4 linked regions of the Alligator mississippiensis genome follow. The protein of the gene in region 1 interacts with the protein of each later gene in a biochemical or structural test. Links are inferred from orthologs where the notes say so. Each region holds a gene or a part of one and is shown on either strand. Other genes may lie near its edges.

The links.
Region 2: the proteins of BMPR1B (region 1) and BMP7 form a complex in vitro, tested with the Homo sapiens proteins (2 studies listed by BioGRID). The link is inferred for Alligator mississippiensis from reciprocal best matches to the Homo sapiens genes BMPR1B and BMP7.
Region 3: the proteins of BMPR1B (region 1) and BMP2 form a complex in vitro, tested with the Homo sapiens proteins (3 studies listed by BioGRID and IntAct, with this or other methods). The link is inferred for Alligator mississippiensis from reciprocal best matches to the Homo sapiens genes BMPR1B and BMP2.
Region 4: the proteins of BMPR1B (region 1) and GDF5 interact in a biophysical measurement, tested with the Homo sapiens proteins (3 studies listed by BioGRID and IntAct, with this or other methods). The link is inferred for Alligator mississippiensis from reciprocal best matches to the Homo sapiens genes BMPR1B and GDF5.

Annotation. Positions count from the first base shown.
Region 1 is NC_081825.1:157,017,617-157,025,907, forward strand, and holds the start of BMPR1B (bone morphogenetic protein receptor type-1B), read left to right. Parts: upstream 1-5,007; 5' UTR 5,008-5,151; intron 5,152-5,161; exon of another isoform or gene 5,162-5,252; intron 5,253-5,477; exon of another isoform or gene 5,478-5,838; intron 5,839-8,291. UniProt on the Homo sapiens protein: On ligand binding, forms a receptor complex consisting of two type II and two type I transmembrane serine/threonine kinases.
Region 2 is NC_081832.1:9,428,127-9,435,848, reverse strand, and holds the start of BMP7 (bone morphogenetic protein 7), read right to left. Parts: upstream 3,342-7,722; 5' UTR 3,036-3,341; coding exon 2,618-3,035; intron 1-2,617. UniProt on the Homo sapiens protein: Growth factor of the TGF-beta superfamily that plays important role in various biological processes, including embryogenesis, hematopoiesis, neurogenesis and skeletal morphogenesis.
Region 3 is NC_081824.1:225,998,649-226,006,151, reverse strand, and holds the start of BMP2 (bone morphogenetic protein 2), read left to right. Parts: upstream 1-3,982; 5' UTR 3,983-4,627; intron 4,628-5,049; 5' UTR 5,050-5,056; coding exon 5,057-5,375; intron 5,376-7,503. UniProt on the Homo sapiens protein: Growth factor of the TGF-beta superfamily that plays essential roles in many developmental processes, including cardiogenesis, neurogenesis, and osteogenesis. Induces cartilage and bone formation.
Region 4 is NC_081832.1:37,890,787-37,899,359, forward strand, and holds the start of GDF5 (growth/differentiation factor 5), read left to right. Parts: upstream 1-5,203; 5' UTR 5,204-5,477; coding exon 5,478-6,111; intron 6,112-8,573. UniProt on the Homo sapiens protein: Growth factor involved in bone and cartilage formation. During cartilage development regulates differentiation of chondrogenic tissue through two pathways.

The sequences.
Region 1 (8,291 bases):
AAAGACTGAGAATGCTGTAAACCAGTGGTGCTCAAACTTTTAGTCCCATGGGCTGGATGAGTGGTGTGGGTCCAGTCTGTGGGCTAGATCCTACAGGCAGGGTGGATGCATGGGTATGTCGGCCAAGCCCTGTGCAACTAGACCTAGCCATGAAGTGACCCACCTGTTGGCTCAAGAGGACCTGACTCCATGCAACTGATCTGGCCACAGAATGACCATGGCATGCAGGGCTAAATCATCCACCTTAAAGGGTTTGCCATGGATCTGGAAATCTGTTGGCAGGGGAGAGGTGGCAGCAGCCACAGGGCCAGATGAAATGCTCCATGGGATGGATTTTTAGCCTGCAGGCTAGAGGTTGAACATCACTATTGTAGACAATGAAAAAGCTACTTTTTTATCCAAGGATGTTACAGTTGCTGCTATTATTGTCATGGAGACAGTCACTTATTTTTTATTTATATTTTTGGACTTGTATTTAAAGATTTCTGAACAGTAAACTTTCTTATGTGATGAAGTATTTATATGGCCCAATTCTGAGTGCTTTCAATTTTCACTGAAATCAACTGGAATTGAGTGTGCCAGAAATTTACAAGGAGAGGACCCTGGTGCATTAAAGCCTGAAGAAGATGTCATGGCTGCCTGCCGACTTCTCTGGCTGCTAGAAGTGGCTTGGGCAGCCAGCCAGCTGCTATACCCAGAAGAGAAGTGAGTCTCTGGACTTCAATTTGGGAAACCTTGACTTAAATAATTCTGGTTTACTATAGTATCACATATTGTTTTATCTGTCCATTTCACAGTCATTGTGCTAATTCAAAGGTCAAAGCATACAATCTACTCCCTCCTTTTCCCTCCCGCCTAATGAGAGTGTGTCAGGGTTTTATATTTTTTAAATAAAGTATTAACATGTTACACATATACTCAGGCAGGCATACAGATGTGCAACATATGGCATAATATGGAAACAAGAGTTACAAGATGGGAAGTTTGATCTTGGAACTGTGGAATTGTGCAGAAGATACTTCAGTAATTATGTCCTGAGCAATAACTTGCAGTCCCAAACATAGTCTATAAGCAAGAACTTTGATTTCATAGCCCCTTTTGATGTTAAAATATTTTAGTAAGACTTTTTAATTAGCTGATTTAATAGATGTTAAGTAAGGAGGTGATCAGTATTTTTACTAAACCAAAGAACATTTGACAAAGTGTGCATCATAACTGTCATTTCTCCAAGCAGGGAAGTTATACTAACTGGCTCGTGCCATGCATCTTTATTTTCTGCTCACTGTGAACTGACAGCTGGTCTAAACAGCAAAATGCACTGTTTCAGATAACTTTGCTATGGCAGTACTCCAAATCTGTTTTGCAGATAGAAGGCAGGGTAGGGTGGCTAAAGAACACATTTTGGTGTTCATTTCAGTATGGTTAAAAGAAGCAAATACAACTTGGTATTGACTGTTAAAGATGGGATGAAACCATGTTTTAGAATCATTAAGACAGCCATGAAACATGTTTTGTAACATTGTAATAGAGCATGGTCCTGCCCTACAAAAGAAAAACCAGAGCGTATTATGATGATTTTTTTTTAATTCACAGCAGAATTAAATTCTACTTTGCTAGCAAAGCAAGATAAAAGCAACATCCCCATTTCGGAGCTGAGAATAAATGAATAAATTGGCTGTACAGCCTTACTTCCTATTATGAAGTAAGTAAGGCTACAGAAGAACAAGCATATTTGTATGAAATGTGCAAGTCTCAGGGCCTTGGCAGATGTTATGCTTAGGATGTGATGAACCTGTTAATCAAGTCATAAATAGTAACCCTTCAGGGAATGAATAGCATGTTCAGGGAATTAATAGCATGACAAAACAAGAAACCCGCTACAAAAATGTTATACAAAATATGTTTCCATCCTACCTTAAATTGAAAGTGTAGCAGGGTAGCCCTGCTTTGCAACCTAAAGCTGGCTGCATGGTGGGGCCTTGTTAACTGCGATGTGGCATAGTACTCCATGGTCCTGCACCTTGTGAATTTAGACCAGGAGCCATCAGCCTGTTAGCTGGGTGGTACAGCCCTACACCGGTTTTCAGGGAGCCCATCCACTAAGCCAGCATGGTGCTTGCCTTGCTCAACTCCTGATAGGGGTTCAGATGCCATCACGCCATTATTTTAAAATCTTCCAGGCACCTCAAAACATTTACCTCTTCAGTTGAAAGAATGGGAAAAATACTATCATTAGCTTCTGCAAAAATGATTATTATGTTGACATTTGTAAGCATGGGCTAAAAAGGAAGAGATTCCACAATATTTTTGTCCCCTATGGAAGGTTTATTCATATGTGATTACTAAGGATCCTAGCTTTTTGTTCACCATAGAAAAATGCAGAATCCACCTCTTTCTGTAACTTACCGAAAAGCATGGAGGCATTCTACAGTGAGCAAGATGCAAATACTGCAGCAAAAATAAGAAAGCAGGAATGGTGGCACAATCCGTGGGATGTCGCTGCATTTTTAGTAGGTTGCAAAAAACCACAGATTTTTGTGGGGGGGGTTTAAACAGTTTTTTTTGCTTTTTTCTCATGGAAAACTAGGATCCCTGGTGATTACTGGAAACTCCTACACTAACATACACAGTATCTGAAGGAACTGAAGGAGGATCAGTGTGGACCTCAACACTCTGAGGTCATGGAGGTGAGAGCATGCTGAGAACTTTGCCATGAGTCTAGAACATGTTTGTGGTTTTGTCTGTTTACCCTAGCAGTGATAGAAGATTTAGATAATTGCTATCTGCTGCTGGTATAGCTGACCACCCCAAACAATGCCTTGTCAAATATACTTCTGCTTCATAATAACATTGCCAGTGTTAGCTGAGAATTTGAGTGTTTTTATAAGTGTTGTTATAATGAGGTCTGTTATAATTGGGAGTCAGTGAATGATGTCTGAAGTAATCCCCTCAGAAAAGACTAGTCAGAAAATCTAATGAGGGGAAAAAAAACCCTGTCATCCTCCTTTCTTATAGCTCAAATTGGTAATGAATAGTGTCTGTGGCTGCTGATTCATAGCAGTTCTGCAGGTCAAACCAATTGGTCTCCTTTCCTAAGGAGATTAGTCCTATATTTTCAGCGGATAAGCGTCATAAATGTTCACCAAAAAAAAAAAATTTAAAAAAAAGGTAAGGGGAGGGGCTTGCACAATTTCATTAGGACTATTATATTTAACCTATTTCAATGCAAAATCCTTGATTTTTACCTGCCAGTTGTCATGCAGACATCTAATTACCTATATAGCTCAAGGAGAACCAACTCTCACAGTGCTACATTGCAGTATATCGTTCTCCCTCTTCTCAGTCTCGAGTATTTCCCTTTATGTCAGTCTTTCCTCTTAGTTCCTTTCTGTATCTTCCTACATCTCTTTTTCCATTCCATGTCTATTCTCCCCCCCCCATCTTTTTTCTTCCTCTCTCTCTGTTTTCTCTTCTCTCTCTTCTCCCTGATTAAAGTCTCCCATGCTTTTTGCAGCATGGAAGAGTTTTTCATGTATTGCCTATAATGGCATATCTGCTCCACTCCTTTTGGTCATTGCCTTGCTTCCTTTGTGTCCAGTGTGTGGGCGGATGGGAAAACTGAGGAGTATGCCAATAGGAGTGAGTGAAGTACCTCCACTGATGTGGGGACTGCAGGTTTGTGAGAGATGATCTAGTTGTTTGGCTAGCAAAGTCAATGCCACATTTTAAAATTTGAGATGTATATGGGGTAATCATGAACACAGAATCACAAAAGTGAGTTGGAGAACACGAATTAGCTTTTTTTGCAAGATTTCCAGCTTTCCTTGCATTAATTTCAGCATTTCTGGTTCCAACTACAGTCCCGAAGCGCAAAGGTTCATGTAAAAGAGAAAACAAACAAATCAACTGTTTCAGGAACGTAGAGACAGGTTCAGCCCTGGAAATGGGTGACAGGTCAGGTGCAGGAGGTTCTTTTTGTTTTTCAAAACTGGTTTGCCCACTCATGTGTCTGTTTGTATGCGTGTGTGTTTCAGAAAGTAACAGCAATATTGAAAGAATACCACTTTGCATGTAATGATCACTTACTGGACCACAACACTTCCCTACTCAGTCACAAATGATGCGGGCGTTTGGCAGTGCTGCCATCAGCGTTCCCTGCTGCTGTCATGTCTCACTCATTGCACACACTATGGTTTTATTAAAAAAATTGCCATTACTTTTGGAAACACCCATGTGTATGCAGATCCCATAATATTGAGGCAGTTTGTTTCTCTCCTGCAAATGACAAAATATTTTGGCTAAATGGAAAGAAAAATCAAATGAGTCTCTGTTTTTCAGGAGGACTATAACAGCACATGTGACTTTAAAGGGAAATAAATTACTGTTGTTTGTTGCTGCTGCTGCTATTATTATTGCTCTTTGTAATCTCTCCCTGTCTGACATACCATTTCTGTTCTTGCTTTTGGCCTTCACTCCATTGCAGTGTCTCAAAGGCTAAATGGAACTTTTGACAGCATTAGTCATTTTCCTAAATGGGTAATAGAAAAAAATGGGATAGTAAAAAAAAAACTTAGAAGGCTTTGTCATGTTATACAGTCGCACTGTGGGTTCTTGGCCTCTAGGTGTTATTTCAGTCCAAATAACAGTAAGGCATTACAGCAGAGAGGAGGCAGTATATACTCTGACAGTGGGTGCACCTTACATACTATGCATTTAATTTAGTACTTCCTTAATAAAGTACTGACTAAATGCGCAGTACCTGAAGTTATGCACAGTAGCACCTGTGTGCTGTTATTTACTGATGCTTGCTGTGCATTAGTCTAATACGGCACAATAGGCTATGAGCATGGTTTTTTGCTGACATGCTAGCATGCAGTGTTTATTAGGCTAATGCACAGTAAGCATCTTGTAGAGGCAGTGCTGTGGTGCCAAACTTGGTTGCTCAGGGCAAAGCCCGCAGCAGCAGCAGCTCTTCCTGCGCGCAGATCCAGCGGGCACATGCCTGCCCCACCCCCAAGAGCCACTCTGCCTCCATCCCAGCCCGACTGGGCAGCGCCTGCTGGTGCCCCTTCGCTTTGGTCGCCCTGCTCATCGCCCCTCTTGCTGCGGCACTGTGCGGCTGCACCCAGGGGTTCTCAACCTTTGTAGACGGTAGGCACCCCCCAGCCCTAAGCTTGCACTCCTTTTTTGAACTGCAGGAAAGTAACAGAGCAGTTCCTCGGTTGCAAATCGCTCAGGAAGCCCGTAACAAGGTAGGCGGCTTTTTCACACCTTGGATTTAACTTGTGAATCACGTTTGCGCGCCTAACCGCACTCACCCCGGCAAGGACCCGAGTGCCGGAGCCCTGCTGCCCTGCACTTTGCAGCCCAGGCAGGCGGCTGACCTCCCGGGTTAGCGGGCTGGTGTTTGCAGCCCCCCCCCGTGCCGCTGCCGGGGGGTCTCGGCTCTTCCCCGGCGCAGGCGGCCCCTTTTGCTCCACCTCTCCTCGAGGCTCTCGGGCTGGGGGACCTGGGCTGAGGCTTTGCTGCGGCAGCTTGGGAATGGGTTGGCGGCGGCGCTGGCGGCTCGCTTGCTGAGCGGCAGCGGGGGCGAAGCGGGGGTTTGTTTTTCAGCATCCCCCTCTCTCCCCCACAGCGGACACGGGGCCGGGGAAGCTCATGGATGCGCGGCGAGTCGCCTGCGCGCAGGAGGCGGCGCTGGGCCCTGGCATGGCTTAGCGGCAGCAGCACTCAACTGGTGGAGCTGCTGGGCTGCGCTGGGAGGAGGTGAAGCCCGGGACTTTCTGGCTCCGGCTCAGTCGGCGGCAGGAGAAGAGAGGCGGCGCGGCCGGGCCGGGGGTGAGCGCGGGGCCGGGCCCGGGGCGCGCGTGCTGCGGCGGAAGCCGGGACGTTTCTCCGCACTGAGTGGGGGGGCGACGCGGCGGGTCCTGGCGGGGCTCTGCAGGGAGCGGGGCCGGGGCCCGTGCGGGGCACAGAGGAGCCGAGGGCTGGGATGGAGAGAGGGAGGGAGCCCCGGCGCGTCCCCACCCCGGGCACCGCCCCTGCCCGAACCCCCTCGCACCTGTCCTGGCCCCTGCGCGCGGGGTCGGCGGGGCCGGGGGCATGCGGCGCCTTGCAGCGAGCAACTCCCCTCATCTGCGATCAGGCCGGCACTTAGGGGTGAATTTGAGCCGCTTCCTGGACCCTCCCGCAGCCACCCTAAACTGCCCTTCTTCAAATCAAGCCCCGATGCATAGTGTATGCCTTAATTTTGCTCCCGACACAGGTGGACTCTAAGAGCCTACTTGCCCTTCATTATTTAGAAAGAAAGGGACCGTCTGGAATAACATCCCGTGCCCTTTGAGCCTCCACAGGCTTGCTCCCGTGCTGTTCCTGCTGCATTTTGCACCATTCAGTGTTTTCGGGGGTCACACTGTTGTCTGTTAATTTTGCTTTTAAAAAGTATCCTTCTCCTTCTTTAGAAACATTTGCTATAGAGATGTTGAGCGAGGGCACTGGATTGTAGCTGCTAGTGCTTTTCTTCAGGTTGATTGTAAAATTATTCAAAGCAACTGCTTGCTTTTTTTTTAGTCTGTCCATATAGTGGGGTTGTTTTGACAGGTAAAGTGCACTTAATTTTCTGAAAAGTAACTTTTCCACGACTTTAGACATGCTCTAGTACAAATAGTTCTTATAACTTTTTTTTAAGTGTAACTTAATCCTAGAAAATTTGATACAGTGTGTTATTTGTCTAATTTGATAAGCTGTTTAGACCTTTCTTTGTGGTCACCTGTTACATGATGATATCATCTCATTACTCATGTGTCAAAAGCTGTTGATGAATTCTTAATGACATTAAAATGTGCGTTTAAATCAAAATGTCATTTTGCCCATATCAGCCAGGAGAATTGTGACTTTATGGAAAAAGTAGTTTTTCTCTGTCTTTTTAGGCAGTGCTCTCCTGTTTGTTTACCAGTACACTTTCTCTTTCTCCTCCCTTCCTCCCTGCCTCTCACCTCATACACCCTCAGCCAGTCTACCAGTGGATTCATAGTTTACAATAGTAGATTTTGTTGAATTCCTGGTGGGGAAAAAGGCCTATTCATAGGTTGCAGCTAATCAACTTAAAAGCCTGATGAAATGGATCATAAATTAGTATAATCTTTTTGTCATTAGTATTGTATAATGCAGTTAGTGTTATGTGGTTTACTATAATTGTATTTAGAATTTATTATTAAAACCTTTGTAGTTGTTTTAAAACAAGGAATCCTGCTTTCTCCATTCTTTTAACTCCATTGACCTCAGTCAGTCATGCTCCTCCTGATTCTCATCTGTGGAAGCCATGGGCATATCAGGAATTTACGGTTTGACTTCTGGGTTGCTCCTTCCAACACTTGTAGTTCCCCGCTAGATGTGCTTGGAGTTCCTTGCGTGGGACAGTAAGTACATCATACAATGGACTGAGTGTTTTGGCTCGAAGCCAGGGAAGTGTATGCCCAACTTTAAGAACAGGAACAGATAAAGTTCAGTGTAATTGGTTTATTTGTATAATTAGTTAAGCATCTGCTTAGGTGTTGTACTGGGTTGGGGCCAGAATGCTCCTATTCCATATTCACTCAGCTGAGAGAAATTTAGGCCTTGGCTTGCAAGTTGCTACATTTCTACATGTGAGTAGTTACTTTGAGTTCAGAGGGGGCTATTTACAAGCAACTTGCTATAAAGTATGCATGCGATGTTTGCATAAGTTGCATGCAAAGTAGTCACCAGATTTGAGCATGTTTCATACCTGGCTGCGAGTGTGAGAATCTTGTTTTACCACATGTCCATAAAATACGCCTCCTATATTTGTGACTGTGGAAAGAGCATCTGAAATGTAGTTTTCTTTGGCTATAATATGGACTGCTGACAGAAATGAATGATAGTGATCTAATAGTAACACATTTAGAGCTGAGTCTGAAACACATTGACCTCCTAATACAGTAGCTCCTTTTTATATAGATAAGCTACTATGTTTGTATTGTCTGAAATAACTTAAATATTTTGGCCCTGATAAGCAAAACTCTGACACAACTGTCTGGAAGCCATTGCGTAGTTAAGCCAGTCTAGATTTCACATGTGCAACCTTATTTCTCTCCTAGCGTGAGTTCCAAAGCACTCTTGGCCCTGACGAGAAGCACTGTACTCTTTCTACTAGATAGCTCTCTGGTTGTATGAGGAGAAATATACCAAAAGATGAAAGAGTTTAAGATTTTTACAAAGGAATTAGGTGCCCCGCTCTCAATATCCTCTCATATCTCCCTTATACATACAAG
Region 2 (7,722 bases), on another chromosome or scaffold:
GAGCTAGTAGCTAATCTAATTCATTAAAAAGTCCATAAACAAGTAAGTCTTTGTCCTAAAAAGATGAAAGAACTATGACTATAATGGGATGAAAGGTGTGCACAGTGATGAAGAAAGCTATTATGGATCTATGTCCTTTTTAAACTCGTCCTGGCATGCACTGTTGACAGGGGAACAAAACAGTACAGATAAACCTCTGAAAAGTGCCTTGTTGGTAATAATTCCACCTGCCTATATAAAACCACTGGATCTAGCCTACGCTTTGACTAATGACTGACCATGCTGGCAGAAATTAAACTAAATAATAATGAAATACTTTGGCAAGAACATTTTCATACTCTTTAAACTGATTACAAAAGCCGACATTTTTATGCAGTTCATAATTTTAATGTTATACTGTAACCTGTGTAATTTACATATAATAATCTTTATTGATATGTTCTTTTAGATTCATGGGATAGATGCATCCAAGAAAACAAATCTCAATTACAAATGTATTGACTAATTTCACTATGATTACACTGAGCTAACATGTTTGTGCAAAATAAGTTACTTTAGAGGCTAAACCATAATGTCTTTTACATAAAACTCCAGGGGCCTTCAAAGATGGCTTTTCCCCACATTATTGAGCTTGGAACTGGGTCCCCAGAGCTGCATTTATGAGATCTACCTCGAAACTAACTTCACAAAAACCAAAGGATATAATTGTTCACCTGGAGGTAAATCTCACTATCTGGAGTTGACTCTATTAAATATTCAGCCCTTTCAAAAAAAGAATCTACTTTTACAGTAGAAAATAAAAGTGCCAACTTTGTTTATTTCCTTTGTTTTCTGTATGTCCCCGCACTCTGGCCATACATTATATGTACACTGAGGTACAGCACAGCACAATATTAACACCATTTCTCTTATCTCTAAAGTCAAATATTTGCCCACCAGTGGTACTCCTGGCTGCACAAATATTGATTTTAAAATGTATCAATGCTAATTGGCTTACATACTGAAAAACTATTAGACAAGCATTATACTTCCAAATGGACTATATTAGCAGTCTGAAAAGACTACAGCCTTTGGGCCAATTGTAGAGTCCTACCAGTGAGGCTTATGGTATTTAATATGGAGATGCAATTCCACTGAAACTTGAGATCTCAGCATGCAGTGCTCCATCTCCAAGTATCACTTCAGGATTGGACTGAGGTTGGCTACTGTATATGATCACAGCTATTCACATATGTGTGTGTCATAAAGCCTATACAGCTACTGATACTTCTGCTTTAGCCCATAGTGCTAGGGGAAGGACAACTATTGCACAATGCCTGTTGCCACCATGAAGCTCCAAGTGATAACCAGGAAGTTCTAGGTGATGGCAGATTTATTACAGGATTTAAGATGAGGGCATCTGCCATCTGTACCATTTCATGCATCTCAGGTGCATCCTTCTCACTCCTTGCAAACGGCTCCTCATTTAGGCAAAGTTTGAGTCAACCCTGCTCTGGAATTATCATTCAGATTTTGACTTGAATTTGCAGGCACCCAATCTGTACATCTGGTGGTTTCAGAGCCGCACGTGATGAGGGCTAAAACTAGATACAGTGAACTGGGACCTATAATTATATATTTAAAATAGAATGCTTGTCCTGACAGCATTTTACTCAAATCCGGCTGAGTAAGTCCCAAAGGGTGTGCAATCTATAGCCAACGAATAGAGATCAGGAGGATATCAGCAAACTGCGGCATCCAATTAAAGCAGCTCAGTGAGCTGCATACAAAGCGTGGCAACTTTCATGTCATTTGCATAAACCCATCCACATGTGTGTGTGAAAGGAAGCACGTTAGCTTGCCTCAACTGGGGTCACTAGAAAGAGCTGCAGGAGTAAATAAGGATTTACCCTGGAATCCTTCTCAAGCCATTAAGAAAACAGACTCCAGCAGCCTGGCCCTCTCAATCTAGTTAAGGCTGCCTTGGCCACTCCACTAGGGTCTGTCCACTTAAGCGGCTCTGGTGGCATTGTGATCATCCACATGATTCCAAGCTCAGGGCTTTGAACTGTGTTGCAATCCAGGGTCTTTTGTTGGCTTCACGTCTTTCTTGGTGGTGCAAGAAGCCAGACAGAGCCACTAACAGGTCCTGTACAGGTCCACTCCCTCGTGGATTCTGCAAGGTAACTCATTCCGTGTGGAGGAGCAAGAGGGAAGAAGAAGGAGGGAGCATGGCAGCAGGCCAGATGAGATCTGATGGGGCACAGTAAAAGTCCTACTCATAGGACATAGGTTCTGAGTGAGCCCTTTCCAGCTGATTTCCAAACCTCCTGACACTTAAATTCACACTGCAACAAAGGCTGGATCTAGAGCCACTTACTTCCCCTGCCCTGCCCAAAGCCACCTGCCAGCAGGGCCATATGCGCCCCTTGTTGCTACCTGCCCCACCACAGCCTATTCTCTCCTGTCCCCACCAGAGGCTGTGGTGCCATTGGGTCCATCTCTTTGCTTTTGCCAGCAGAGAAACCAGCTTCCTTCCACCCCATCCCACTCCAGACACTTGCCCCAAACTCAGATCCTTTGCCCCAGGCTGTCCCAGACCTGTGCAGGCTGCCCCGGGCTGGGCTCGGACACTCACCCAGGTTCACGAAGCTCATGACCATGTCTGCCTCGGTGAGGAAGTTGCTGTCCTGCAGGCTGGCCAGGGGGGGGCCCTGGGTGCTGAAGATGGGCTTGTAAGGGTAGGAGAAGCCCTCTCCCTCCTCCCCCGCCGCCCCGGCCGCCTCCTCCACCGACATGGCATTGTAGAGATCCAGCATGAACATGGGGGCTGAGTTCTGCTTGCCGTGCAGATGGGGCCGGGGCCGGTGCGGCAAGCCCAGGATGGAGAGGATCTCCCGCTGCATCTCCCGGCGCTCCTGGCTCCGCAGCCGCCGGTGGATGAAGCTGGAGTGCACCTCATTGTCCAAGGTGAAGTCCGCCAGGATGCAGCGCAGCCACAAGCACGAGAGGACCAGCAGCCGGGAGGCAGGCTGCCCGGGCCACGCGGCGCGCATCTCTCCTGCACGGAGGGGAGATGAAGAGACCCACGGGGCTGCTGAGCAGGAATAAATACTTTACCATGAAAGACAGCTGGAGAGGGGGAAAGTGCCTGCCCCGCAAAGCTCTGATCACTTGGCTAGAGGGCAGCCCTGCAGCTCAGGCTTCAGCAAACTCATGATAAAAGTTTGCCTCTGGGGGGGGGAGGTGGTTTAGTTTGTAAAATCCATGAGATAAATAGCAAGGATCACTCCTGAGTGGTGCTTTCCACTCCCTTTCCCCTCTTTCTTTAGGGTCTGATTTCTTTCTCTCTCTCTCTCTCTCTCCCTCTTCACTTCTCACAAGTGTTTGAAATGCTGCTTTACAGACAGGCAGCAGGAGGTTGTATCTGGTGGGAGGAGCAGGCAGCACAACTCAACACCCTCCCTCGCTTGCTCTCTGCTCGCTCTCTCTCTCCAAACTGCTTAGAGAAGAAAATCCGTGTTACTGCCTAGAGGAGGAACATCTGATCAGGTTGCTTTTCAGGATGTTTATGGAGGCTTCTGGCTTAGAAGAAAGGGTGAGCCATTCCCAAGTAGTTAAATTAATGTAAACATGATTAAGGGGAAGGCAGTGCTGGGGGAGGGCTGTTTAGTGGAGGGGAGGGGGGGTATGCATATATAAAACAAAATAAACTAAGCAGTGCAGTGGGGCAGAGCCTGCCCAGAAGGCAAAAGACCAATACAGGCATGCATTTAAAATGTAATGATACCAGTAGGAAAGGTAGCCCAAGGTCGCTTGTACCCACAGGCGGTCGGGGGGGATGTGAGTGGAGAAGTGTTAAAGAAGGCCAGGAGGTTATGGGTTAATAGGTGAAAGTTTAAAACAATACAGGATACCAGTGACATGGCCCCGGACCCATCAGCTTGTGCGCACAGCTAGTGTTTGTCACAGTCTGTCTCCCTCTCATCTCCTCCCCTCTCTTTTCCTTCCATTGTTAGCTACACTCACTTGTTGCATCTTGTCCAGGATGGGGTTATCAGCCCTTTGGAGCAGGGGCTGTCTCTTACTAAGTGTCCCTACAATGTCTGGAAGAATAGAGCCCAATCCTGGCTGAGCCCTGCCAGCTCTACCATAACACAAAGGAGAAATAAATGACAGCATTCAGCAGTAATCTCTTGAGAGGAGAGGACCGGAAATAATTCAGACTATATGTTGATTTTTTGATTCAGCCCTGGCGGGAAGAGTGAAAGGAGAGGAGGGAAAAGAGGTTGTTTCCACTGCCTTGACATGCTCGTAGTCTTTGATGCTTCCTGATGAGCCTTGCCATGCCCAGAAGTCTGAACACCTGGTCCCACCTGCCTTCTGCACCCAGAAATGAATAGTTATTCATTTTTATTTATTTATTCAGTTTATACAATGCCAATTTATATGCTGCCCTTCCCAATAAAGGCTCAGGCTGGCTACAATAAAAGAACACTCCGCATTTATACAGACCAGTGTATCCTAAAAGTGTTGTGCAAACAGTGAGTAGCTTGTTATAAGAGCTGGGTGAAGGAGGCACTCTTTGCTTTTTAACAGAGGAGAAAGTGAGAGACAGAACTGGAGTGGTCCATTTTTAGACCACATTGAGAAAGGGGGAGAGTCCGTTAGGAGCCTAGCTGCCAGGCCCTTCCTCATTCTTCTGCTGCTTTTCAAAGGGGTGGCAAGAATCTTTTATAGCTCTAGAGAAGCACTGCCAGCCTGCCTGGGGGGCAGGAGAAGGACTGGAGGTGACAGGTGGTTTGCCCCGTCATCTCTTGCTGGCTCCCAATACAAACAGAAGCCATGATTTAAGGCTTCAGGTGTGTGTGTTGGAAGAGCCTTGTTCAATTCCCAGCTCTGCCACCAATCCCTTATGTGACATTAGCCTATCATTTAGCCTTTCTCTGCTTCCCATCTCTGTCCTAAAATGGGAATACTAGTATTTCCCTGGCTCATAGACTGGTAAGGCTACCTATATTTAAGTATTGTGAGTCACCCAGGTACTATGGTGATGCTATCCATAGAAGTGTCTAAGATAGTGGTAATACAGATATACCACCATGATATCCAGAAGGGGCCTTCTAGAGTCCCTTCACATGAATTAGCTGTGATTGCAACTGCATACAATAATAAAATACCAGCTTATTTTGTGTATCATCATTTGTACAAACCCTGGATTTGTTCCTAAGTGGTAATGCCAAAACATTTCTAAGAATTGCGGCCTTCGTGTTTGAAAACATATAACTGGCATGGATTTCAACACAAAAGGGTGTTTTGTTTCCTTGGTGCATTTGACAGTGATTGGGCCTAGTCTCTCCCCTCTGTCCGTTCCTCCTGCTGTTGCCTTATGTGCAGGCCTTTCACCCAACAAACCAGGGAGAAAAACATATTGAAATTAAAATACTATACAATAGATGAAGATTATAGAAATGGACAAGGAGCCTTAAGAGCAGGTATATTTCTAGAAACCATATATAGGGCAATTTTCAAGTTAACAACATCCCCTTAAAAAGCACTGCTTGTTTGGGGGAAAGGGAAGATACTCAGTTCTTCTGAACTGGAAGATTTGGGCTCTGGAAAAATCTTCAGGTAGCTGATTTCTGGGATTGATTGTGTCATTTTTTATGGGAGACAAATTTTGAGACTTCTTGGTTTGGCAGGTTCTTCTGGTTCTAGTTATGATTCTTCATTCCCTACTTAACTTCCCCCTAGCTTCAGTTGGTTAAGTTGCCTTGTGGGGGTTAAGATCAAGCAGTGTATTGTGTATCAGCTTAATAATTGTCCTTTCCCCAGGTGTAGTGAGTGACAGGGCCGTCTCTCACACTTGCATGGAAATGGATCCAATCTTTTAATAATCTTTTTCATTGCTATTTTGTATGGCTTTATTCTTTACTTCCTGGCCTAAACTGTGGACCAACATACCTGGTTTGACAGGCTCAGAATCAAGTAGAGAGAGGATATTGTGGGATCTGGCATAAGCAATAAACTTTTTATGAAAGGGGATTATTATAAGTATCAGAGAACCAAACTTTTTCTTTGAAGCTGCTGCAGGTAATTTCTCCACATGCTGTTCTACAAAAATGTCTGGCTTGTGATTGTTGAGACAGACTGCTAAATACAATCTGCTGAAATAGATACATGACAGATATGCCTAAGAGTGAGTTTGCCACTGTTATATACCAGGTGCCAGAGGCATTCTTTGTGAGTGAGGGTTGAGAACAGCAAAAAACCACTCTTGAAAAACCACTCATAGAGCAGTAGTTTTCAACCTTTTTTCATTTTCAGATCCCTAAAAAAATTTTAATGGCAGTGCGGTATGGTAAGTGTGGGTATTCACACATTTCTGATTGATCATAGTCATCTTTCCTGGACCCCTTAGATGTAGTCTGCAGACCCCCAGGGGTCCGCAGAACACAGGTTGAAAACCACTGTCTTAGAGAATTGATTTCTCAATTACATGTTGACTTCAGTGAGGCTGTTGGGTGCAACCAAGAGTATGTCCCAGTATGTCCCACTGTGTGCAATATAGCATGATGGAGTGAGATGGGGTCAACATTTAGCTGCGAACATGGATTTTACACATACATGCTGCAATTAGAGGATATTGTCTATGCCATAATTTCTGATTCTAATGTTTCTTCCATCATATTTTGCATACTGCTTGACCTCATTTATTGGTGCTCTCAGGGTCAGCTCCCAAGTACTGTAGACAAATTGCTGAAAATATTGGCAACCCCATGTCATCACCCTCTTTCTCTTCTCTCCCAGGTCAATTAAGAAACCAGTTTTTCCTCTTAACTGCCATCCGCTGCTCCTCCTCCTCCTCCTCCTCCTGCTCCCTGTCAGAGAAGGAGAGTTGAGTGCTGATGATGAAGCAATACCTGGATGTTGGCTGTGGCTGTTTCAGATGATTTCTTTAAAAAAATAACTGAGTGCTTCTATTTTCATCTTTTGGGTATCTTAGTATTTTGCATGTGTATGATTTGTATATTAGCTATTATTTGTGTTTATGTAGAAATACATGCACTGTTGCTGGATGGAAGTGACTAGTTTAGAAATAAAGGGCCCACTTCTAAAACAAATAAAGTACACACAATTTGTGTGCAATTGCATGTGCCTAATTTGTATGCATTGTTGTCATGGTCATGCATCCAAATTGCCAGATGCATACCAGTGGCTCATTCAGGTCATCAGTATGCAAGATTAACCTAAATGAAGTAAATGTATGTTCAGGTTACACAAATGGTTTCATGCTTAACTTAAAGATTGGACCCAAAGCATCCTGTCTTCCTTCTTTTATTCTGAATAACGTTAAAGCTATTTATTCTTCTTCCTCCTAATTGTTACCTTTGTGGCTTTCATACTTTCTCTTTTCACGCCTATCTGATGTATACAACCAATCCCTCAGAGTATCCTTCCTTTGTCTCTCCAAGTGCTGCACTAAAATGCATGCATCTGGGGAATCTTTTCAGTAATGATTGCATGATCAGCATCTGCATGCCATCTAATCTGGATTTGGTGGGACCCTCCCCATGTGTGACTCTCATCTAAAGAAAAGCCTTATTTTTATAAGATTATACAAACAACTTGCATATTGTATTATGTCATATTGGATTATACTTCTCAAAGTTTCTATTCACTCTCCTTAACAGCATTGTCGTAAATGCATTCGTCAACGTGAAAATAATCACATTACGGATA
Region 3 (7,503 bases), on another chromosome or scaffold:
GCCTCAGTGAATTCACCCTATATCATTTTGGTCTAATAAAAGATATCACATCTACTCAAAGAACCTTCCCTCCCTATATCATAGATCTTTTCTATAGGTCTGTAGTATATATCACCTTGGTGTAGGAATAACCCTGCATCAGTGCAAAGGGTTGAACTACATGACCCTTGAAGGGCCTTCCAACCCTAAGATTCTATGATCTTGGTGAAAGTCTATTCACCTGGCCACAGGTTAGGTCCAAGCACAATAAGGGGAGCTCCTTCAAAGCTTCAGGTCTGTTCAGTATGAACTGACATGGCAAAGACATCCAGAGCATCATACTTCAACACCCCATGGAAGGTGAAGCCCTGAGAGTAGAGCTGAGTTACCTGGGCTCTCCGCAGGTAAATGGGCACTCTGCTCTTGCTGCCTTATATGGGGCAGCCCCAAAAGCAAGGCTAATGAGAAGAGGCTTTTGAAAAGGGATTCCCAGGTCCAGGCAGGAGTGCTGACACATTTCCACCACTGGAGGGCAGCCAGATCTAAAAAACATACAGGAATCAGCACAGCAAGCCTAGACTTCCCAGGCTGCCCCCAGAAAGCCAAATGCATTCAAATACTGCTCTCTGAAGCAGCCTCTTGGGGACCTGAACACGTTTCCTACAAAGGGAGAAAACAACTACTACTTTTGAGATTGGCAGGTTCTGAGAGGCAAACTTTTAGGCAGAGGGAATTCCTCTTCTCTCCTGTCCTGTCTCTCCAGCTATCAGGAGGAGTGGGGAAGGTTCTTTCACCCTGAGCCTGATGTTTCTGCCAGGCCTCGGGGCCCAGTTTCCTGGGGACAGAAAACATTGGGTTATAAAGATGGGTGCATTCCACAGGGCTGTCTTTGCTACAGAGATGAACATCCAGGTGCCCCTTTGGAGGTGCATCTTTGGAGCTGTGGCTACTGAAAGAAAAAGGCATACTGAACACCTACTCCAGAATGATATTTGAGGTGGATGAAATCTGTTCCATACCAATGCAGGGGCTACCTGCCTTGCTCCTTTCTGATATGCGGAGGGGAACTCAGGCCAGCTTTCCTTGGTATCACAGTGGTAGCCGGTTTTGTTTTTTCACTGAATTCTCTTCCCATTCAACAGGTAGAAAAAGGAAAAAAAATAGGGAGAGAAACCCAGCTTTCTGTTAACCCATGCAGAATTCAAATCCCAGCTGATCTTTGCTAGAGACATGAGGAGGTATACGTTGAGCCAGGGGTTTTAGCTATAGACAGCGGGCACTGAAATCAGCCTCCCTCTTGCTGTTTCTAAACGCTCGAAGTCATTGGACCAGATCAGTAGGTAACCCATATAGGCTGGCTGAGAATCTGTCCTCTTGCAGCATTCTCTTGGCATGGTTTGTGCTCATCTTCCCAAATATCATATGCCTGGGTTTTCACATGTATGTGTGTGTATAGATACGTATATACATATATACAGATACACATACATATAGACACACATACATACTCACGTATTACATGCATACATATACATGTATATAAACACACACATATATACGTACACATCCACACATATCATCTTTTGCAACCATCGGTCTTGAGAGACTGTGGAGATTGCGCCTTTGGTGGGTTACTGGATACTGCCACAGCTTCCTGAGTGGCTGAGTCTGATGCGCAACAAGCAGAACCTCCAGCAAGTTGCACATACAAATCAGTTGAGCTTGCACTGGCATGCTGAGTACTGTTTTCTCTTGCCCGCCTCTGACGCCTCTTCCCTAGCTCATCATTGGGACATATACGTATATATACATACATATATATGCATATATATATAGATATGCATGCATATACATACATACACATACATATATACTTATACCCATATATACATACATGCATATATAAACACACACACACATAAACACATCTAAATACACATGTATATAAACACACACACATATGCATATATATATATAACTTACGTATATAAACACACATACCCACACATACATCCATGCCTATATATATAACATACACACATAACACACACATTCACACACATAAACATGCACATACACACATAACACACACATGCATATATGTAAAAACAAACACACTATAAATACACACAAATACACATACATGCAGATGTGTAAACCACACACAAACACAGATGCATATATAAAACACACACACACACACACACACACACACACACACAGCTACTACTACTACTACCACCTTATTTTAACACTCTGACTCTCCCAATACATTATTTGACCTTCACACCTTAAAAGTCAGCAAACACTGAAATCCCACTGCACGAAGCTTAATCCAATTTGTTTTAAGCCCCGCCTGCCCCTCCATTTATTTCGCTCTTCCCTGACAGACAGATGCTATAATGGCTCATTGTTCACCTTGGCTCTCAGCTGACTTTCCTCTACCTCGCCACTTGTAGGCGCTCAGGTTCTGGCTAACCCAGTCCTCCCCGCTCCCACAGAGATGCCTGCGGCTAAACCTGGGAACCCCGGGCAGGATGGGCCCCCGGCTCCTCTGCCCTATGAGTCTCTTCTGGGACGTGTCCCCGAGGTGACAGCTTCTAAGGCGCAGCCGGAAGATCCTACTTTGCACCTTTAGGGACTAGCCGGGGCTGCAGTGACCATTGAGCAATGCCCCTCCCACCCATTAACCATTGAGGGATCCCCCCTTCAAGGGTGGATTAACCCTTTAGTGGGCCCTAGGCAAATTCATAGGCCCCTACTTAATCCTGTAGATTTATATTCCTTTTGTTTCACTCAATAATTAGAATATGTAAAATAAGTACAACTGGCCCCCCTTCTTCACTGAGGGCCTTAGGCATGTGCCTAGCTTGCTATGCCTTAAGCTAGCCCTGCCCCACCCCTCACATAGCGCCACCTTTGCCGCAGCAAGGATCAGCTCTGGGTTGATAACACCAGAGGTCAGGTTCAAGCCCCGATTCGGAGCCTGTCTCCTCCAGGGACCAGGTTGAAACTACCAAGATATGGTTGTAGAGGGTTGTGGGTGTTGCTAACGCAGCAAAATATATTAGATGACTACAAAAATGGAAATGAAAGGACTGGGAGGGCACTAGCTTGGACCCTCTACTTAGCAAGAATACCATGGAGGATTCAAGCTAGTGCCCCCCCCCCCCCCAATCTACATTCCCTGGGTAGGCAAGTTTCTGGGGTAAATGCTCCATGGAATTCTTGGTAGTGCCCAGCATGGAGTACCCTGGGTATCCACATCCCCTGGGCAGATAAGACTTTTGGGGTAAATGCTTCCTGGTTTCTTGCCAGTGAGGATCCAAGGTAGTGCCCAGCTTGTAGCACACTCCCCCCATCCACATCCCCAGGGTAGACAAGATTTTGGGGGTAAATGCTCCATGATATTTTAGCTAGTGAGGATCCAAGCAAAAGCACCCTGGGTATCCATATTCCCTGGACAGATAAGATTTTTGGGGTAAATGCTCCCTGGTATTCTTGGTAGTGCCCGGCTTGGAGCCCCCTGGGTATCCACATCCCCTGGGTAGACAAGATTTTGGGGGGTAAATGCTCCCTGGTATTCTTGTCAGTGAGGATCCAAGCTAGTGCCTGGTTTGGAGCCCACCCCTTCCCGGGGTATCCATCCCCCGGTAGACACGGTTCTCTGGGTAAACGCGATCTCTTTTATTAGCCCAACCCAATCGTTGGGGAAAAAAATAAAACTCTGCTTTGCAAGCTCAGGGGCAGCAACACCCTTCCACCCACACATGCCCCGGGGGAGCGCGGCCACCAGAGAGGCTCCCCGGCCGCAGCCTAACGGGCCGGTGCCCAGCTCGGCCGGCGGGGAGCAGAAGCGCAGGGGCAGGGAGGGCGGGAAGGAGGGCGGGCGGGAGGCAGGAGGAGGAGGCGGCGGCGGCGGTGCTGCAATCGCTGGCTCTCCCGCAGCCGCCTGTGATTGGCGCGGGCCCGCAAGCCCCCGGGGTCGTGACATCAGCAGCGCCACAAAAAGCCAAGGAGGCACCTCCGGCGCTTGGCAGAGGCAGGGGCAGCAGGAGCCGGGCCGGGCCGGGGCGGGCGCACAGGCACACGCAGCGAGGGGCCGCGGCGGCGCACGAGACGGGCTCCGCGCCGCGGGCAGCCAGGAGGAGCATCTGCCCGCAGGCTGCCACACCCCCGCGGCAGGAGGAAGCGGCGGCCACGGCAGCAGCCACTTGTTGATCGCGGCTTTCGAGAGGAGGAAACCCCAGCCCTGCCCCTGGCCGGCCCCCGGCGGGGAAGCAGTCCCCCGCGAGCCGGGCATGTCTCCGAGGCGGGCTGCGCCGGCGGGCCGGGGGCAGCGGCTGCAGCGGCGGGAGGCGCCGGGGATGCGGGGCTCAGCCGCAGCCTCCCGCTCAGCATGAGTGCCGGCCGCGGCCATGGGCTGCCGCGGAGGACGTAGGAGCCGCCCGGCAGGAGCAGCGCGGGCCAGCGGCCCCGGCGCGGCGCGGGCGGAGGGCAGCCCGCCGGCTTGGCTCCGCGCCTAGGAGGACTCGCGCACACAGACCCGGCGAGGCCACCCCGGGGCGCCGCACATGTGCCGCTCGCGGACATGCCCCCGAGTGCCGCCGCCGCCGCAGCTGCCTAGGCCGTCGGCGGGCTCCTAAAGGTAGGGCTGGGCGCACCTGCTGGGGCCCGTCTGCCCCTGCGCGCTCCGGCCGCGGCCGGCCCCCCGCAATCCGGACTCGCTTCGGATCAGCCCCAGCGCTGCTGCTGCTGCTGCTGCTGTGGGCAGGGGGTGTCTGCCCCCGGGGGGGCACTTTGGTGCGGGATCGGGCCCGGGAGGGGTTGGGGGGGAAGGTGCATGGAGGGGGTGGGATCGGGGCAGGGGAAGTGGGTGCGTGGGGGGGGGGAGGTCTTTAGGATGGGATTGGGATTGGGATCGGGCCCGGGGAGGCGGGTGCATGTTTGGTGCGGGATGGAGAGGGGGTGGGCGGGGGGTCTTAGGTGCGGGATCGGGCCCGGGGGGGGATCTGGCACCTGCTGCCGCGCCCTGCTGACCCCCCTTTCCCCCTCGTGTGTGCCTTGCAGGGCGACCATGGTGGCCGCAACCCGGTCGCTGCTGGCGCTGCTGCTGTGCCAGGTGGCGCTGGGCGGCTCGGCCGGGCTGATGCCGGAGGTGGGCCGGCGGCGGGCGGGCCGGGCGGCCCCGCAGCCGTCGGAGGACGTGCTGAGCGAGTTCGAGCTGCGCCTGCTGCACATGTTCGGGCTGAAGCGGCGGCCGAGCCCTAGCCGCGGCGCCGTCGTGCCGCCCTACATGCGGGAGCTGTACCGCCTGCACGCCGGCCACCAGCTGGGCGCCCGGCTCGAGCGCGCCGCCAGCCGCGCCAACACGGTGCGCAGCTTCCACCACGACGGTGAGCGGAGCGGAGCGGCCGCGGGGGCAGCTTCAGGGGGCTCCGTGTGTGTGTGTGTGTGGGGGGGGGTGGTGGTGTTTGGGAGTTGTAAAGTGTAGGGGGGTTTGGGGGCTGTGGGAGAGAGTGTGTGTGTAGAGGAGACAGTAGGGTGTGTGTGTATGTAGGGATTGTGAGAGGGACAGTGTGTGTAGGGGGCTGTAGGGTGTGTATGTTTGTGGTTAGGGGTGTCAGTGTGTGTGTAGGGTGTAGAGGGGCTTGGGCATGTGTGTATGGGGTGTGTGTGGAAGACTAGGGAGACTAATGCATGTTTGTAGGTGAGGGAGTGTGTGTGTGGGGGGGGCTGTAGTGGGTGTGAGGGAGTGCTTGTGTGTACAGGGTGTGTAGGGGATTTGAGGATCTGTCTAGGGTGTGGGTAAGGGGTTTGGGTAGGAGGGTGTGGGTGTGTGTGTAGGGGCTGTGAGGAAGAGTGTGTACATAGGTGTCAGAGAGAGCATGTGTGTAGGGGTGTCAGGGAGTGTGTTCAGGGTCTGTAGGGTGTGCATGTGTAGACAGGGGTGTGAAAGGGAGTGTTTGTTGGTTGTGTGCATAGGGGGATTAAGGGGTGTGAGAGGGAATGTGTGTGTAGGGGGGTCCCTTTTTTTTGGTATGGATGTGATCAGCTTTGGAGGCTTAAAAAACAGGGGGGGGGGGGGAGGAGTATCAGGGACAAAGTCTTTCCAAGGAGTTAATAAGCTCGGCTGCTAATAAAATAGGTTGTGTTGAACTTCCCAGCAGTGCTTGTAGTCAGGTGTGTGTGTGTGTGTGTGTGTGTTTTTAAAAGCCCTGATTAAACGACTCTGAATTTTATGTTCTGATGCACTTGGGGCTCAAATCTTTTTTTATTTTTTTTTCTCCTCCCCCTGCTTTTTCTTACCCCTGCCCCCTCCACTTTCCCTCCCTTTTTCATCTGATGTGAGACCTGTCGATTTTTCTTATTTTTTTTTTTTTAATTTTCTAACAGATTGGGCCCAAATTAAGAATTCCCACAGATTAGTTTTCTTTTTTTATTTATAAGGCTAAATACCAGAAAGTCTCCCTTGCTTACTTACAGTTGATCTGTAAGAGGGTCCTTGAGGAAAGGTTTCTAATCCCCGTGAGAGATCAATTCCACAATTGATTGTATTGTTTCCATAATGACTTTCTTGTCCTGAGTTCTGAAACAAGGCTAGATTTAACGCAGCTCTAAGGGGCAAAACTGGTCTGATAAAAGCCTTGTCACAGCCCTCCCCTGTCTCACATGTTCACCTGAGCCGATCAATACTGTCATTTTAAGTAAGATGCTGAGCGCATGTTATAAAGAAGTGTGAAACTGCATACACCCAAACTCTTTTTTTGTCTTGAAATTAGATAATCTACACACACACACACACAAACACGTGTGTGTAAAGTCACTTACTGCTTTAAAAATCTCAAGTAGCTGTTTTCTAATCTCACCCAAATGCTGCTATCTTGTGGAGAGCTGTATCCACCTCTCTTCTTGTTGAAACCTTTTAAAAGTTCAATAGGGTTTAACTGCATTAGGATAGTATAATAACTCCAGCCTTACGCTTCTGTGACAAACTAGTCACCATGAATGGTCTAATGTATCCATTTTACTTTGTTACCAATTTACTAAATACATGCAGAGGAGATTTGTCTTTTCTTAGGTGCATTTTTTTTTTTTTATTTGCCTTTCGGTACTCATTGTTTTATTAAATATGTGTGTCCATGGACTAACTAGATTCTGGGAGTGGGGGGTTCAGGCAGGGGGAGGAAATAACTAAACTGGTGTCATGGCAGATAGCCCAGGTAGACCTCTAGAATGAGTGGTTTGCATGTTACTCTTGCTCTTAACGCAAAGAAATATTCCAGAATTTGTAAATAACTTCTAGCTATTAGTCTTCAGTGGTGGTATGCTGTAGGCTCACTGTAAAATTAATGAAAACACAGATTCCACATGTTACAACATGGAGCTGTGACGAAAGAAATTTTATTAGGATTTAATTAAGTTGGTATACAAAGGAAGTGGCCTGAAATCGGTGGTTATACTCTCTAATGGAAAGCCTTATAATGAGGAAGGAGATTAATGGCGAAATTTAACCTTGCACTG
Region 4 (8,573 bases), on another chromosome or scaffold:
TATCACACCCTCTACCTGAACAGCCAGAACTCTCTTTTCTGTGTCCCTGCCATGAATTTATCCTAGCTCCTTTAATCTTCTTTCATAATTAGCTGGTTGTGGAGCTCCGCTTAATTCTCCTGTTGCTCATCAAGAGTCTCTCTGTGGCAGCTGTCACTTCTCCCACCAAGAAATTTTCAGCTCTGTGGGCAGTTCCGCAAGCCAGATAACATAGCTCTGCACTTTAGATGCAGCCCATGGGTCTCTCTATGAGGCCAAATATTTGGTGGTGGGGTGAGCTGTGGCAATTAACACTGTCACGGATCATCCTGCTGCTAAATTTTCAGCTGTTTGGGGAGCCCTTCGAACCAGGTGACACAGCTCTGTGCCTCAGATCCAACCTGTGGGCCATATCTTTGACACCCCTGACATGCAGAAATAGTCTTACACTTACAAGAATCTAAGAAGAACACAGAAGAAAATGAGTTACAATGATTTTGCTAAAATGAACACCTTAGCCCTCTCTGGGAATATGTTACTACAGAAGAAGTTTTTAAAACTCCCAAGTGCTCATTAGAACAACAGAGCTGGATATGGAGATCAAGCCAGCAAGGTTACAAGTGCCCCTGCTCTCACAGAGTGGGTGGGACCTTGTTATTACAGACTGGTGGGGAAACTATAGAAGGACCAAAAAGAGGGCCTTTGACATCAGGAGTCTGCCCCCCGGGGAACTTCACTCTGACATTATCAATAGGACCATCTTGATCTCTTCATCAAAGAACAGCATTCTCTGTGTACAGATAAAAACTGTAACCATAATTGTTGCTGGCACAGCTGTTCATCTGAAATGGCTGCCTCACTCAAAAATCTTTCAGAAAGGTGAGGTCCACCACCAGGAAATGTTTGCCAATTGGGAGTTCCTGCTATTCACCCTGAGCACAGAGGGCATAGATATGTGGCTCAACAATGTCCATATCCTCTGAATGTTGGGTCACAGGGAGGTGAAAGCTTGGATTGGTGGGGAGGGGGTGCCAGGGGTCAGGTAGGGGTCATGAGCCACCAATTCTTGATCTTTTTCTCTGCTAGCCCATTCTTCCCCATGTGTTCACAGATATTTCAGGGGGAGCATAATTTATATTGCCATTATGCCTGCCCTCAGCCATAACAAATATTCACCCAGTCCTGACTCCTGCTGTCATTTTAAGCTGCTGGTCTATACCACTTGCCTTAAAGAGACTGACACCACATCTTTCTTGGATCAAGTATTTTTTTACAGGCTTAATTTTTCATTCAAGCAACAAAACAATTCAGCCATAAGTGGGCCACATTGCCAGCCACATACCTGAGAAGCTGCCTGCTCTAGGGCCTTCCACAAAAGCCATTTTACTCCCAGTAAATATTGCTAACCCAAGAACATTTTTAGTGACAATTTGCAAACTTTTTACTGACGAAACTTTTTTACTGTCACGTTTTCACTGACATATTTTGTGTAATGTAAATGTAACTCTTCTACTACGCCCTACCTTGCTTACAAAACTTCAGTTAGAAGAGCTGGGTTCAAATTTAGGGTTTAACACCAACCTTAGTAAAAAAAAAAATAAAGTTTGGTTGTCAGTGAAAAGTTTCTAGTAAAAAAAAATCTTGGGTTGGCAACACTGCTTGATTAAACCAATGGTTTATACCATGCTACCTCCACCCACACACCCTGCATAATGCTGCTTCCCCCAGCCTACCCCTCCCCCCCCATCTTATCCCTGGTGGTCCTGCTTTCCCTGTGCTGGCACAGGCCCACAATGAAGCCTACCTGCAACCCAGTAGCATTACAGGATGAGACACAGTGGCAGCAGCATGTGGCTAGAGGTGGGGGGCCGGCGGTGTGATCTACACAACCCTGACAACTGGCTTCCTGCAGGGTGCTATGCTACCACTCAGATAACAGGAGGCATTGCTCTACCCTGTCAGTCTTTCAGTCAAGCTCTCGCTGTCCAGCTTCTTTCCAAGGGGGAGCTTTAGTCAAGCAGACTTGTGGTAGCTTTGTGTTTTTAGAGATGGCTCATATTTATTTATAGACTTGAGAGGCAGGCATTTATAGCCTGACTTTTTTTACAGACAGCTGGCAACCCTGGCTCCAGCATTCCTCCTCAACTCCTCCCAGTTCAGCCAATGGAGGCAGTCTCAGCAAGGATGTAGCTGATCACAGACAGATGAGGCTACACCCAACTCTCCTTAAGTGGCCTGCCACCCTTTGACAGACTAACACCCTCCCCACCAATATTCAGGGCCACTACCTCACTACTCAAGAACCAGTGTCTATTTGTGTCTGTTCCCTCTAAACATTTTGCAGTCCCCTGAAGGCAATGTTGCCTTTCTTTCTGGCTAATTCTCAGCCCAGTCTTTCTGGATGCTCTGTAGTTTAAACATAGGATGGTAGCTATTCTAGGCCAGGTTTCAGCGAGAGTCTCTTCCAGATCCAAGTTTTGAGGGTGTTGGTTCTGAGGACAGCAGACCCTGTTAGACATTTAGGCTGCTACCTTCCGTTTCCTAGATTGCTGATGTTTTAGTTCAAGTATTAGCAGACACTGGATGCATTACACTGTCCATCTGCTCTTGTGACCTGGAATCCCTGCATGTTGGCTCTTCATATTGGAGATTTGGAAGGGCAGACTTATTTGGGTCCTAGTTCACTAGAAAAAGGCTATACTTCAGTTCCTGTAGGTTCAGCAATGAATATTGTTCCAGTCTTTCATTCAGAGAGTTTACATAGGGGTCTTCAGACAAGTAGGGTGATGGATTGTAGGGAGGGGGCTGAAGGGATACTTTTTTTAGTGTTGTAAAAGCTGATGTGCTGACATTTCTGACATGTTCTTAATCAAACAGGGCAGCTGCTGGTAGTGTAAAACGGACCTGGGAGCATGATTCTGGAGCTGCAGGCCACAGAACAAAGGTCAAAGGTAGCCATTAAGGGGCACAATGCTTAGAGACCAAAGCATTAGTCAAAGTTCAGTTAGACCAAATGCCTAGGAGCCAATGTCTAGCCAATGGTCCATAGATGACAGTGTGCCAGAAGTCAGGAATCTCATCCAGGAAGCAGTAAGACACATGGTCTGGGGATTGTAGGGGGACAACTATGTAGTGACAGTAGAATCTCCAAGCTAGTCAAATGAGACTCTCTTCAGAAGGCACTTATAAGCCCTTTTGTTCCTTTGCCCCTAGATATTTTGCTCTTTTTCTCTCTGTTGAGTAGGTAAAACATTCGCTGCCAGATGAAAGTAGGTGAGGAGTGGGGAGTGACTGGATTCATTTAGTATTTTGCCATTTTTTGGCAATATTAATTTTCTGTTGTGAATTGTGTGCTATATCCAAGAACCAAGGGAGCCCTTTCAAATTAATTAAATGTGTAACTATATAAATATTGTCTTTACATTGTCTTTACTTTTCTTTAGAAAACTAGCATTTCTGCTTTGATATACAGAGCTTCCATTTGAGCTGCCAGAGGTCTATGCTTCTGTTCAAGTGAACTCCAATCCAGATCCTTTTACTAACTTGTGAGACTATGTTCCTGGTGAAACCAATAATAAAACTGTAATTGGGAGTAAAATTAAGCCAATGCCAAGTGGTTTGGAAAAGCTACCTTCAATATGACAATGCAAGTCACTGAACCTTTTCCTGAGGCTCAGATTCATAATCTGTGCAGATAATGGTACTTCCATTTGCAAAGTGCTCTGAGACCCTCAGTTTGAAAGAGCTAATATTGGCAGGACATTATTTGCTAGGGTATTTCAGGATTTCTGTTCCTGGTCCTAGTTCCAAGCTGAAAGTACAGGTATGTGTGAAAAATAAAACAAAAATATCCAAAAATGATGGCACTTCTTAGCCTCAGGAACAGTTGAAATTAAGTTTTTTGAGACTGAGTTCAGCTTCAGTCTGGGAAGGGTGAGGGGTCCAATCGATTTTTAATTGATCCGAGCCTGTCCCTGCATTCCGAGGGTTCAGTTAGAAAAATAAGAGTTAATTTTCTGTAGCTTACGGGAGAGATTTGTTTGCTCTATCTTGTTTGCATTATCTTTTATATTTAATTGCCTGTGGACTTTAACATGTAGGATAATTTTCATTTGTAAGCATCAACAAATACATCACATGCTATTTCTGTGGGGTTGTATTGTGTACATGAATCTTTAAAACCTTTAAAGCGATGGTTTTAAACCTTTAAAACTTTTTAAATAAAAAGAACACATTTATATTAAATCATTTAAAATATGAAATTTGGATTTTAGAATCTGGTCTCTCTGGCTCCCTCAGTGCTTTAGCTTGACAGAACTCTAGTTCTCCTGCAGGGGACACTGCTGCTTAACACTGGAAGAATTTGTTTGATAGGTTCTGTTTCAGGAAATATATTACACAGCTGGGGCAAGCTAAAGAGGCACGGGGATGCCGTCTGTGAGACAAAAGCAAAAGGAAACATTCCCTCTGTATTTAATGGAGCTTCAGTTTATTTGTTCAAATATTTGCACCAAACTGGAATTAGCTTTACTTTTGAACAGCATAGCAATTAATGCCCCTAAAACTAGTATGAATGTATGTGTTGTATATGTATGAAATTAAACTTTATCCTTGTTTTAAAAATTACCTTTGTTGGCAAAGTCCTTCCATCGCCAAAAGGCAAAGTGAAGTCACTATTCCAATTCTTAGGAAAAGATTCCAACTCAGAATGGTTTTAAACATCTCTTATGAATCATAAGATGTTTTAATGTATTTATTCCAAGGGACTCTGTAAAAGATTCATACTGTTGATCTTACAATTTGTCCTGTTTGAATATGAAGTTCATCTAAGGCTAAGGTAGAGGTCGTATTGCCACTAAATGGCATCCTCTGGAGTGTTGATCCTACAGAGTTGTTTCACATGAGGCAAGGTATGACTCATGCTAATGGAAAGGGTAAAGAAGATTTTTTAAAGAAATATATTGCAGTTAAATTAGTTTAGACAGCATGACATCAGAGAGTAATTAAATAGGTTTTTGTTAGAATTCCGTTTCCAATTCCTGAGTTCAGGTTTGTAAAAGATTTCTGAGCACCTGCAGGTTTCTGTGTGAAATATTTTCACTGGAAAGGATTCAAAACGTAAAAAAAAAACTTTTAGCACAGAGGCAGCATTACGCCATTCTTCCTTTTTGGAAAAAAAGCCCCTTAGATTTAAACAAGACTCCTTCAAGTTTTCAGTCAGTTTTACAGAAGAAAAGGGGAGGTACACTTTCACTTTTCAAGAACAAGTTCTTTTTAGTTGCTAACTGAAGCCAGGGGAGAAACATACCTGACTAAATGTGCATTTCCACTATGGGACTGGATACAGATATTAGAGAAACAGATTTAAAGTGTTTTAAACTTAAAAGACAGCTATTTCTCCTGACAGTTTTTTTAAATTTTTTTCATGTTTTCTTCTGCCAAACTGGAGGAACCTTTTCTGATTTTTTCTTTAGTGGCATTCAAAGGAAGACCAGAGGATGAAAATCTTGCACTTTCTCACTTTATTGCTTTGGCATTTGACTTGGTTATATCTGGATTTAGTTTCTGTAGTGTTGAGTAATTCTGAAGCAGGTCAGAGTAATCCTGGATCCAAATTAGGATTGCTAAAAGCAGAAGGAAAAGAAAGGAATCCCTTATCAAGGGCAGGTACCTTTAGGACTGGAACCCATGGATACAGTGCTGGGACATCAAAGGCTAGAAGTAAAAGCAATACTGTTCAAGCTGGAGCTCTCCTGTCTAAGAAGGATGAACCAAAGAAGATTCTCTCTAGAGCAGGGACTACAGACACAAAGGTAGGACATTCCCCTAACAGACCATCTGGAGTAAGGACAGTGACTCCAAAGATTCAGAATGTTGGCAGCAAGGCCTCACTTAAAAAAACTGGCACCCGCAATACTGATGCCAGTTCTTACAAAACCAAGAAGACTAAAGAGCCTCTAACACAAAGGGAATCTAAAGAGACTTTCAGACACCCCCCTATCACACCTCATGAATACATGCTTTCCCTGTACAGGACTCTCTCAGATGCAGAGAGAAAAGATGTTAATGGAAGTGTAAAATTGGAGGCTGGACTCGCCAATACAATAACAAGCTTTATAGATAAAGGACAAGGTAAGAAAGAAGCTAAGGTGTAAGTATATGTGTATTAATGAAAGAAATGCATAAGTGTTCACACAGCTGTGTGTATGCATTTGTATATCCATAAAGTTACTTACAAAATAATGGTAATGTATTAAAGGCAAATAGCTTGACTGATTTAAATGTAATCAGATTTACATAACTCAGAGGCAATTTTGTCTTTTCAGTTTAAAATCGTATAAAATTCACCTGGAAACAGATGTGGATGTTTGTATACTTATCAACCAATGCATTTAGGGGCAGATTTTCAAAGGTTTTAGGTGTCTAAATAGGCGGATAAGTGCTTCTGAAAATCTCACTACTGTTTACCTACTAGGTACCTGACTTCCAATGGGACTAATAAATCTTGGTACTTCTGAAAATCCAGCAAGGTTCTTATCTTTAACTTTAAGTGTATAAATACTTTAGAGATCCATCCCTTAAGCTTTTACATAATTAAATTACAATAGTTGATAAACTTGCATTTTATTATATATTAAACAGTTCCACAGGCATAAGATGTGCTAAAGACAGTGATGATTTCTTTGCTTTTCAGTGTATCAAAAAAAGACTTTCTATATAAAAACAGCAGCCTTATATGTAATAAGGGGAGAGCTGAGGGTATGTCTAAACTGCAGTCACAAAAGTACTTAAAGTAGTATAAAGACACCTGAGCTAGCATGGCTCCTGTTAGCAACCTAACTAAAGAAATTCAGAACCAGCTAATTAGGCTAAATAGCTTCTGTGACTTCAGCATAGCCATTACCTGAGACTCTGTGGCACAATTCTTCTGTTTGTGGAGAATGAGCTAGTATAGTGCATGCACATATCCCACCAAGAAAAAATGAAGTTCCATTCCTCTTCTTATTGGTCAGGTAAGCACTCACAGGGGTCAGATGTTAACCTTACTCAAGTTGGGCAATGAGCCTAATGCTGTTTTCAGTGAAATCAGCATGAATTTTCTCATGAACTGGATGGGACCTCTAGACCACTGCCCCAGCAGTGCCAAGGTGGTCACTGATCCACTTTAGAAGGGAAACTCAAATGGGATTTAATTACAAACAGTCTGGTTGCTGTGGAGGAGTAGATGCTAATAACATACTAATACCCTTGTTTAGTCATGTTTCTTATTACTAGGGATCCTAGGTTTCTCTGATAAAAATCATAAATTCTCTGGTAAAAAACCCAAAATCCGTGATTAAAATGAAAGGACCCTCACACGCCTTCCCCCCCCACCCCCTTTGGCCCTGCTTAAGCCCCTCACTCCCTCCCCTCTGGCCCTGCTGGAGGGGGCCCCCAGCTGCCAGGGCTACGGGGCCAGAGACCCAAGTCCACAGCCCCCTGCCTCCAGGAGGAGGTGGCACCTGCTGCAGCAGAGCAGAGCACAGAACCCAAGTTATGTGTAGGCTGCTACAGGCTTGGGTGGGAGTGGGGTCCAGCTCCCCACTGCTGTGTGCTCCTGGGGGGGGGGGGGCAGAGGGGACCCATGCCCCCACATCTGTGTGCGGGGTGGAGGCAGGCACAGGCTCCCCACCCTGCTGCCCTCCCCTGGGGTCTCTGCATCCCAGTGGGTGCGACCCAGCTCTGCAGGGCAGCGTGGGGCCGTGCAGGAAAGCTGCTTGCAGCTGTGAGCTCTGCGCAGCCCTAGTGAGGCATCCCCTGCGTGCGTGGCAGCAGTGAGGGCACAACCCCATGCCACCATCCACACAGGGGACACCTTGCTAGGGCTCACAACTGCAAGTAGCTTTCCTGCTCTTCCCTGCAGCACCAGGTTGCAGCCACCAGGCTGTGGAGGCCCCAGGGGAGGGCAGCAGGGTAGGAGCCCAAGCCTACAGTGGGCAGCCTGTGCCCCTATCCTGCGCACAGATCTGGGGGGCATGGGTTCCCCCTGCCCCCTGGGAGTGTGCACAGCAGCGGGGAGTTAGTCCCACCCCGTGCCCACCAGACGAGTCACCCACGGCTCTGTTCCACTCCCCCCCCAGGACCCTGCAGCTGCACATTGCGGCCCCAGGTCCCAAGCCCCATGTGCTGCCCATCTGGGCAGCAGCCCCAGCCCTGCCCAACTCCCTCCTTATGGGGGCCTCAATCCCACCTGCTCCCCACTTACTTGAGGGAGCTGTTTTCCAGGCTGCCTGGTGGCCATGTGTGTATACATGCACATGGTGCCCCCTGCCTGACTGCCCTCCTCCTACTTTCCCCCAGCTCCTTGAAAGCTGGAACTCTGCCAGCCTGCAGAGAGCTCTTTGCAAAACTGCAAAATCCTTGACTTTCTCCAGTAAAATGATAAATCTGTGGTTTCCTCTAGTAAAGGGGAAAATACAGGTTTTGCTCTGTTTTTCCATGGGAAACAGAAAACCTGGTTCCCTACTTATTACTGACACTCAAACCTCAACAATAAAATTGACATAAGGGTTCAGGGAGTAGGAGTTTTTTGCACTGTCTGAAGAGGCTGTGAC